2 separate regions of the Mus musculus genome follow, and region 1 is reported to be linked to region 2. The links are microRNA targets in miRTarBase. Many come from high-throughput screens and were not tested one by one. Region 2 holds a microRNA gene; the other region holds the end of a gene's coding sequence.

Region 1 (5,388 bases), not on the chromosome of region 2:
CAGAGATCGTTCCAATGTCTACTGAGGCTAGTGATGGGCTGTTATAGGAGAGTGTGTGGCTGACCTGGGGACTGATGAGACCACATCTCCCCACAGGAGTTCCTATAAAAGTGCCTGGGAATGGCCAGATAACCTTGGCTGTCACTGAACTGGTAATTCTCTGGAAAGCCTTCTATAGGCAGATGTCCTACCAGGGAAATGGGGACCAGATGTACTCAAGATCTCAAAAGAAATTAATGGCAGTGAGACTCTGCGGTAAAAATATCTGTGTGCTTGCTCACTGGGCTTGTTCACGCAGCTCCTGTTCTATCTAAGGATCATTTAGGCTTAATTATAGAGTTCAGGCATTCATTGGGTTTTTGATTAATTTTCTTTTCAGCCTGGAAAGTGTGTGTGTGTGTGTGTGTGTGTGTGTGTGTGTGTGTGTGTGTGTGTGTGTGTTTTAGGTCTTTGTCTATGTGTGTACGTGTGTGTATGTGTGTGTGTTTATCTCTCTCTTTTTTTTTTTCAACTCAGTTGGGAGCTGACTCTATCAATGTTTAATTGTGCCCTCTGCTCTTAACAAGAACAGTCAATGTGCCAAGAAGGCCTTGGAAAGCCATTGTTTCCACGGCCTCCACCCCATGGGTTGCTCCTGTGTGCGCATTGAGGGACTGCGGGTGGCAGGGCAGTGCTCAGCTGGGACCTCAGCTGTAGGATGCATGCTTCCTGCCTGTCTTTGTACTTGTGGTGTTTAAGGGATTCAGAGACCAGGGGAACAGCTTTCTTACTCCATTAATTACAAATGACAGCCACCTCCCCCACACCACCGTCCCTGACAGGCATTTTTCTGGGCCAACCTCCCTGGGGATTACAAGGTTCTTTGAGGAAGAAAACAGCTTTCAGTCTCTCATTTTTAATGACTCCACTTGGTAGGCAGGGGAGGACTACATGATTGTGCCAGGTGACAGTGACTTGCTTTCCTCCTTTTCTTTCTTCTCTTTTGTGCTAAGGGGTAAACTAAGGGCCAGCATGATACAGAGGCAGAACATGAGGGTTTAAGCCAAAAGGCCCAGTTTGAATCCTGGCTCTTGGCATTTTTCTGTCTGTGTGCCTGTGGATATTCCATTTAACCTCTTTGGTCTTGATTTGCTATTTGTAAAATGGAGACAATAACACCACAACCACCACTGTACGACACTTCTTATAAGATTTCCTGTGGACGAGAAAATGTATGTGCAAGCCTTTTGTAAAATCTTTTATGAAGCATTGCTGTTTTATTTTACTATGCAGAATTGTTTCTTAGACCATGACTTTGGCCTTTGAGGTATTCGTTGGGGGAGTGATGGAGGAGGATCCAAAATGATTCATTGTATGGATGGCAGAAAGGGGACTAGCTTCCAGCCTCCCCTGTCTTGTGGGCCGTAACAAGGACTTGAGGATGTGGTAGGCATGCAGCGGAGAACAAAGATCAAGGGTTCAATATCAAAACAGCTGTCACAGATAGAAAGCAGTCTGAAATAGTCATTGTTTTTGACATTATAACAAAAGGGGTCTGGACCCAATTGTTTTTAATTTCTAGGCTAATTGATTTGTGGGTGAATGACTCCAGGACAATGACAATGTTTCTGGCTGGAAACAAGGGAGGACCCCAGGTCCCAGGTAGTGTGCCTGTATTGTAAGCTGAGATCTGGGAGACTCAGGCCTTTTCGTGGCATGTGCTGATGAGATATGTGATCCTGAATAGATGACCTAATTTAAATGGGCCTCAATTTCCTTGGAGATCATAGACTGGAAGATCTCAAAGGTGACCTCATTTTAGAACTTAAGATCTGGTGGAAGGCTCTTTCAAATACAGGAATTTAAAAACCTTATACCACTAAGAAACCATGTACATAAATGGGATCCAAATATAGTTTGGAGACAACCCAACTAATATCAAAGGCTCATAATGAGCCCCTTTGAAACTGATGTTGTCTGCTGTCAGATCATGCATTCTCAAGGGAATACAGGTTAATCTTCCCACCAGAGACCTCAAGGTTAATTCTGTCCTACAAGAGATCCTTTTTGCTTGACAATGTCCTGACTAAACTAAAAGTCAATGATCCACAGATAGTGAAAAAAGGGGCCATCTCCTTGTAAAACAATGATAATTTTAACATAATTGGCTATTGGGCAATTGAGTGTTCTGGCAGGTTGATTTCAGAAGTGAGAGACCCAACGGTAGGGTTTGCAGAAGAGACACACAACAACGGTAAAGCACATTTGCATAGTTTAGCTTTTAGGAGTCCCTTCTCATATATTTTTTTCCTCAATTTTTATTACCTCATTCTCCAGGAAACTGCCTTGGGGTAATTTATTTTAAAAATCTGAATTGATTCTTTTTAAGGAAGAATAAGTCTAGGTAAGCATACTGCACCTTGCTTTTAACTATAGACAAGGCTTTGAAAAGCTATATTATATGTAAATATAAGTGTGTGAGTCATATCTTAACGTGCTAGGAACATTTAAAGACTGAAACCTTCCATAGAATTTTTAATATAAACTTATTCATCTGTTCTTACAATTTTAGATGTAAAAAAAAATCAGATTTTCTTAAAGTGGGGCTACATGGCTTAGATTCCAAGATCAGCATCCATTGACCCAAATCTCATAAAAATGGCATCTGATTCAATGTGAGGGAGAGACTGCTGCTTCTGATGTTAGCATGGAAAATAAGCAACTTTACTCTTCAATCTGTAGGTCTCTGAGGTCAGCTGCCATTAAAAAGTAGGGAAGCATGGGAAAGCCAAGTTAGGAGCTGACTTATTTCCAGAGTCTTTGCCACTCACCGATGTTACCAATGCACCATTAATGTGTTGCTGTAACTAACTTGCCATCAGTAACTAATCTAGGTGAAAGAAGCCAATGGTTGGAATGTGAAGTTAGTGCTATATTGCTCTGAGTAGCATCCTTTGGGATCAGAGCATGAAGGAAATTAGACTACAGTGCATGGGAAACAAGAGTAATGAGAAAGGTTTGCATTCTCTGTCCCCAAACTCTGGAAGATTTGGAGTCAATGACAGGATTTGTATAATGGCCCTGAACTTGGAAATCTCTCACCTCTGAAATTAGGCTTAAAAAAAATCTACTTACTCAGTATACACCATTGTGAGACTTCTGTAGTCAGTTTACACGAGTTGTTTCTCAACAAGAAAGGATGCACCTCACAATCGGCACCGCTGAGAATAACAGGGGAAGCTCTTCAGTGAGGGTGGGGCGGGGCATGGTGACTTAGGTGGAAAGGGTTGGAAATCTTACCACTGTAAACACTGGAAACTCTTTAAAAAGTTTTGCACTGCTGGACTAAAGGGAAATTGCTTCTCATCTTTATTGGCTGGATCTCAGCAACCCAAGATTGCTTAAGGCTCAGACGTTCACTAAAGAAGTCTGAACATTTCTTATCTACAACTGGACAAGCAGTTGACGTTGAATTTTTGTAAGTATAGCTGAAGTTAACCTATGTGGGCATACAGTGTGTGTACTATTTGTGCTTAAAGGCCATGAATGAATATTCAGGCACTATCGGCAAGACTAGTTGTTATTCTTTCTAAATCCTGGTGTGTGAGCACCCGGGTGTGTGCACAGATGTGTGCCCTTCCTGTGTCTGAACAATTCAGAAACTCAATATTGAGAATGTTGTTCTCATTGGTTGAGACATTCCCTACACCCTACATGAACACGAGGCTTATACATCTTTGTGAATTGAGGGCTGGCGATAAGAATCAGTGGCTGTAAACAAAGTCACAGATTGAGTGACTAAAAACTCAAGAGAGACCCAACACCATAATCACTACAGAAAACAGGAACTGTATATCCAATACCGTAACTAGCAACACTTAGAATGAGCAATCTCTTTGGAAAGAGGCGAGTGAGTGGATGCGAGCAGCCAGTCTCCACTGGGGGCTGCTGACGTCAGCACCTCGGACAGTTCCAAAACAGCTTTTCCCTCAAAGGGCACAACAGAGTTTTGTTTTCTAAGTGTCCCTCTCATTCCAGGGGGTGTGTTGACAATCTGACCACCAGCTAACACTTGTCATTAAACTGTAGTAACACCTTCTTTTCCTCTCTCCCCAGAACCCAGGATCTTTCACCCAATTCCCCAGCACCCTCCAGTCACACAAGGAGACTGTCTTACGAACACCTGGTGTGGATGTTTTCACTCTCGCTTCTAATTGGTTGGGAAGCAGCATCTGCCACAGGCACCGTTTAGTTTCATTTCCATCCCCTGCGTCTCACAGGAAAGAAATGGTCAATAGTTCAAATAAAAGAATCGTCCTGGTCAGCTCCAAAATATGGCTACTTGCACGGTAATCAGAGCAAGTCTATCAAATCAGTGGTTTCTTTATTCCTAAGAGGAAGGGGCTTTTCCTAAGGGTTATGGTTCTACCGCCCAAGGAACAGCTGTACTCATCACAAGTAGCTGCAAAGGCTGGCACACCAAGAGGGTCTGCTTTGGCTCAGAAACTCAGTTTGGCTCCTGCCACCCCTGGTCACCCCACTGCGGGTCTCAGTGGCATGTGTTCCACACACAGTTGGGCAGTCTGCTTTTACTTAGGAGGTATCACAACCAGAGGTGGTCCCCGCTTGGGCCTCCACATGAGGACCTGGGCATCGTTGGCATTGGGCTTCACTAGTGCGTTAGGGGGGATGGGCTCCATCCGGCTCAGGATCCGGGGCTGCTCCTGCTGAGTCCTGCCCACTAGCCGGGCCCGCTGCCCCAACAGCTGAAGAGGGTCCACTTCAATGTCCACTCTCATCCTCCATTTGATGGTCTGCAGTATGATCTTTTCCTTGGTGGTGGTGTTCATGGCCACCAGCCATGTGGTAAAACTTTGGTCCCTCTTGATCCTTGTGAGCAGTGGCACATTGCTGTCACTCACTGGCACTGCCCATGTCACGCTGGGGTAGAAGTTATCATTCATGCTGACGGAGAACCTGGAGATCTTGTTGGTGGGGCCAACCAGGGTCACAGTCTCTGTCGTGTTCCCGTACCATGGGTAGCTCACCCCGTCTGAGTCACTGATGGCTTTTACTCTCCCTTCCCTCAAGTCAGGCAGTTCCCAGCTTGACCTGGAAAAGCAGAAGGGATACACGAGAAAAGAAGAGACTCAATGAAATTTTTATAAGCTGGAGACGTGCCCACCACTTACTAAGACAGTCAAATTGGGCAAAATGGGAAGTTTGGAGGGAGGAGGCAGGTTGGGGTCAAAAGTTCTATGCTGAGTTGTATCAGGATTAAATGAGAGAAGAAAAAAAAACAATCAAAGTGACATTTGAAAAAAAAAGCAATGCCAATGGAAAAGAAGCCCAAGGAGATAGTGGTGAGGCCATGTATAGCTGCCAAATCATTGCGACAATGGCAATGAA
Region 2 (5,388 bases):
CCTCTGGTATCATTCAGAGTAACTTTCAGTACCATGAATGCTGATTAGTAGAGGTGCTGATTCTACAGGTACCACTCTGACTTCCTTGTTCAATAATATCACCTTATGAAGAGTTTTTGCAATTTACAAAATATTTACAAAAGCCTAAGTTGTTTGCTGGAGGAAACCATTTGGCTAATGATCCAACTAGATATAAACAGTTCATCACTGCATGTTTCACTTGGTGGTGAAAGGTGTAAAGTTGAGAGCATGGTTTTCCCCATTATTTAGTGACTCTATTTTGATTTCTCATATATATTAAAAGAAACTTCTATAGTAGAAGGATTCTGTATGACCCTTTACTTGGCCCTTAATGGCTATAATTAGAGGTTTGATCAAGCTAAGAAGACTGTTTATGAATGTGTGAACATTTCATTACAGGCTTTGTATGCAATGCCCTATTTAGAATGGCGCTGATCTGATGAATAAAAAAAAAATGATCAGGGCCTTTCTAAGTAGAGTAAGGCTTACCAACTTCTACGTTTAATATGACTCGTAGATGAATATTCAGAGTATCTATAAGTACATGTAAAGTGCCTTCTGTAATTATGGATGAGCTTGCACATATCCACGTTCTTGTTTTTCTACTTCTATTTATGTATTTATTTATATTTTATTTATTTATCTATTTATCTATTTATCTATTTATTTATTTATTTATTTATTTATTTATTCTTTCCTCATGTATGACATCCAGACTCTAGTTTACTTCTTTCTATACACCTCATAGCCCCTGCCCTACACTTCCCCTGTCCACCAAATCTACTTCTCTTCTCCATTTCCCTTCACAAGAGATCAAGCCTTCATATTTGCTCTACAGTAGATAATATTCATCTAGAAATACATCCATTTCTTTTAGGTTTCATTCTTTTTTTCTTTTTAAAATTTTATTAGATATTTTCCTTATTTACATTTCATATGCTATCCCAAAAGTTCCCTATACTCTCCTTGCACCCTGATCCTCTACCCACCAACTCCCACTTCGTAGCCCTGGCATTCCCCTGTACTGGGGCATATAAAGTTTGCACGACTTAGAGGTCTCTTTTCCCAATGATGGCCAATTAGGCCATCTTCTGCTACATGTGAGCTCTGGAGATACTGGATAGTTCATATTGTTATTCTATCTATAGTGTATGCTCCACTATGTTCATAGCCTCCTTATTTATTATAGCCAGTAGCTGGAAAGAACCCAGATGTCTCCCAACAGAGGAATGGATTCAGAAAATATGGTACTTTTATACACTGGAGTACTATTCAGCTATTAAAAACAATGAGTTTATGAAATTCTTGGTCAAGTGGATGTATCTTCAGGATATCATTCTTAGTGAGGTAACCGAAATACAAAAGATGTCATTAGATATGTACTCACTGATGAGGGGATATTAGCCTATAAACTTAAAATACTCAATATACAATTTGGAAAACACAAGAAAATCAAGAAGGGGGAAGATAGGTGAATACGTCTTTAAGGTTTCTTATGTAATAAAATACAAGGTTTTTAGATACTCCAAGATTTCCTGTTTTTACCACTCTCTATACTGTTTTTTAATTATATTTTATTATATATTTCCTTTATTTAAATTTCAAATGTTTTCCCATTTACCAATTTCCCCCCTATCCCATCTATACTCCTCCTGCTTCTGTGAGGGTGTTACCTCACCCACCCACTTTCTCCCACTTTCCTGCCCTGGTATTCACAAACATTTGGGGTATCAAGCCTTCACAGTACCAAAGGCCTCTTCTCACATTGATTCTCAAAAAGGCTGTCCTCTGCTACATATGCAGGTGGAGCCATGGGTCTCTCCATGTGTACTCTTGCTAGGTAGTTTAGTCCATAGCAGGTATGGGGTTCAGGTTGGTTGATACTGTTGTTCTTCATATAGGTTGCAAACCCCTTCATCTCCTTCAGTACTTGCTCTAACTCCTCTATTGGGGACCCTGTGAACAGTCCCAAGTCTTTTCTAGGAGTATGACAAAGTCTCTAGGATATGATGGGACATGTTGGGGCAGTACAAAACAGTTAACTTATGTGACTTAGATCTTTTCAGGACTTCTTTGTCTGAAGTAAATCTCACTCATACAATGTTTGTGGTGATATAATTTGGTTAAAACTTCAACATGTGAGAGATAAACCTTTTTGATAGCAGGATGCATTGTAACTGTCTGGACATCAATGTAACTTAGGGTGTATTCACCACAAAATTGTTCATCATAAATGTACAGGTTAGAAAACAAAGGTAATATTTAAAAGCAAATAAGCCAAACTTACTAATTGTAGTAAAGTAGACAAAAAAAAAAAGAAAATAGTAGTCAACATATTGCTTTGTTACAGAGATGAGTATTCATTTAAAGAAAAAACATGAGTAAATGTACATTCAGGGAGAATTTTGATAGATAGTGAGAGAATTTCCTAAGTAGAACAGGATGAAAGCTAGTACTTTATGTATGTTATATTATGTTTATTTATGTTATAATTACCGTTGAAAGTATGGGGAAGGGTAAAGATACGTGAAATCAGCACTATATACCAGGCTATAGTCTTGATTTGTTTCAGTCCTATAAACACATGAAGAACAAATCTTTGTGTAAAAACAAGAATCATCATGCCCTGAAATTGTGCTCTGGGTGTAAATGGCAGTATATATGCAGTTACTATCTACCCAGGAACATTAGAACACTAATTTTATGTACAATAGGGGGAATAGGTACCAAATTTATTGATGACTATTTCATACTTTAGTGTTAAAACAGGTAGGGAATCTGGGCAAAGGCATAAGTTTAAAATATATTTTGGTTTCTTTTCTAGAGTTTATAAGTAGAGGACAGTTAATAAGTTCTAAACTCTATGGAGTACAGTGATAAAATTACTAAGAGTGATGGATCTAGCTGAGGCAATACTGACTTGGAATTGTCCTGTATTTGTTCAAATTCTCTCATTCTCTGCATCCTGCCCAATTCTGGGTCTGTGTTTTTCCATCCACTAGCTTATTATGGCTGATCAAGACACTGGTATGCGTATAGGAGAACATCCTTAGGAGTCATTTAATTGTACATTTAGAAGAAAAATAGAACATGCGTTTCTTTCCTAGGCCCATGACTTAGATTCTTGACCCCAGGATATGGGTTCCATCTTGTACAGCAGGCCTTAAACCCATTGAGAGATTAATTAGTTACTTGCATTGCATTTGTGCCACTATTTCACCAGTACAGCATGTAGGCAAATCACCATGTAGAGCACATGGTTTGTAGTTGTGTTGATGGTTACATTTATCCTCTGGTATCATTCAGAGTAACTTTCAGTACCATGAATGCTGATTAGTAGAGGTGCTGATTCTACAGGTACCACTCTGACTTCCTTGTTCAATAATATCACCTTATGAAGAGTTTTTGCAATTTACAAAATATTTACAATAGCCTAAGTTGTTTGCTGGAGGAAACCATTTGGTTAATGATCCAACTAGATATAAACAGTTCATCATTGCATGTTTCACTTGATGGTGAAAGTTGTAATGTGGAGAGCATGGTTTCCCTATTATTTAGTGACTTTGTTTTGATTCCTCATATGTGTATATATATTAAAAGAAACTTCTATAGTAGTAGGATTCTGTATGACCCTTTACTTGGCCCTTAACGGCTATGATTAGAGGTTTGATGAAGCTAACAAGACTGTTTATGAATGTTTGAACATCTCCTTAAAGGCTTTGTATGCAATGCCCTATTTAGAATGGTGCTGATCTGATGAAATAAAAAATTGATCAGGGCCTTTCTAAGTAGAGTAAGGCTTACCAACTATACATTTAATATGACTTGTAGATGAATGTTCAGAATATCTGTAGGTACATGTAATGTGCCTTCTGTAATTATAGGTGAGCTTCCACATGGCCACATTCTTTTTTTTTTTACTTCTATTTATTTATTTATTTATTTATTTATTTATTTATTTATTTATTCTTTCCTCATGTATTACATCCAGACGTTATCTTACTTCTTTCTACACACCTCATAGCCCCTGCCCTACACTTCCCCTGTCCACCAGATCTAATTCTCTCCTCCATTTCTCTTCACAAGAGATCAAGCCTTCATATTTGCTCTACAGTAGATAATATTTGTCTAGAAATACATCCATTTATTTTAGGTTTCATTCTTTTTTTTAATTTTATGAGATATTTTCCTCATTTACATTTCAAATGCTATTCCAAAAGTTCCCTATACTCTCCTTGTACCCTGATCTTCTATCTACCAACTCTCACATCTTAGCCTTGGCGTTCCCCTGTACTGGGGCATATAAAGTTTGCAAGACCTAGAGGTCTCTCTTCCCAATGATGCCCAACTAGGCCATCTTCTGCTACATATGAGCTCTGGGGATACTGCTTAGTTCATATTGTTGTTCTACCTATAGGGTATGGTCCACTATGTTCATAGCCGCCTTATTACAATAGCCAGAAGGTGGAAAGAACCCAGATGTCTCCCAACAGAGGAATGGATACCGAAAATGTGATACATTTATACACTGGAGTACTACTCAGCTAATAAAAACAATGAGATTATGAAATTCATGGGCAAATGGATGTATCTGGAGGATATCATCCTTAGTGAAGTAACCCAATCATGACAGAAGTGGTTAGTTATGCACTCACTGAGCATCGGATAATAGCCCATAAGCTTAGTATACTCAATTTGTAAAACACAAGAAGAGGGAAGACCAACTGGTGAATACTTCTTTAAGGTTTCTAATGTAATTAAATAGAAGGTTTTAACATAGTCCATGTTTTCCTGAATTTCACCACTCTCTGTTCTGTATTTTATTTTATTAGGTATTTTCTTTATTTACATTTCAAATATTTTGCCATTTACCCATTTCCATCCTATCCCATCTAACCTCCTCCTGCTTCTGTGAGGGTGTTACCTCACCCACCCCCTTACTCGCACTTTCTTGCCCTAGTATTCACCTACATTTGGGATATCAAGCCTTCACAGTACCAAAGGCCTCTCCTCAGATTGATTCCCAACAAGGCTGTCCTCTGCTACATATGCAGGTGGAGCCATGGGTCCCTCCATGTGTACTCTTGGTAGGTTGTTTAGTCCATAGCAGGTATGGGGTTCAGGTTGGTTGATACTGTTGTTCTTCATATAGGTTGCAAACCCCTTCATCTCCTTCATTACTTGCTCTAACTCCTCTATTGGGGACCCTGTGAACAGTCCCAAGTCTTTTCTAGGAGTATGACAAAGTCTCTAGGATATGATGGGACATGTTCGGGCAGTACAAAACAGTTAACTTATGTGACTTAGATCTTTTCCAGGACTTCTTTGTCTGAAGTAAATCTCACTCATACAATGTTTGTGGTGATA

The links. The annotated mature microRNA mmu-miR-465b-3p reads GAUCAGGGCCUUUCUAAGUAGA and lies in region 2 at 3,793-3,814, shown strand. An mRNA with a match to its seed (bases 2 to 7 or 8) in the 3' UTR can be bound and repressed. Matches are read on the target gene's strand: a 7mer-m8 pairs with bases 2 to 8, a 7mer-A1 pairs with bases 2 to 7 and ends in A, and an 8mer does both.
Region 1: the mRNA of Fam78b is a reported target of mmu-miR-465b-3p. The part of its 3' UTR that is shown has no 7-base or 8-base seed match.

Annotation. Positions count from the first base shown.
Region 1 is chr1:167,078,240-167,083,627 of GRCm38, reverse strand. It overlaps Fam78b (family with sequence similarity 78, member B), which reads right to left. Exons shown (of 3, transcript NM_175461.4): 2 at 4,161-5,091. The coding sequence ends at 4,569. It overlaps Gm33610 (a long non-coding RNA gene), which reads left to right. Exons shown (of 5, transcript XR_865715.3): 5 at 4,096-4,176. Among named protein-coding and RNA genes, the nearest start is that of Gm33610, 24 kb to the left of the region's middle.
Region 2 is chrX:66,827,638-66,833,025 of GRCm38, reverse strand. Mir465b-1 (microRNA 465b-1) reads left to right here and starts at 3,746; the gene lies at 3,746-3,824. It overlaps Mir465c-2 (microRNA 465c-2), which reads left to right and starts at 429; the gene lies at 429-509.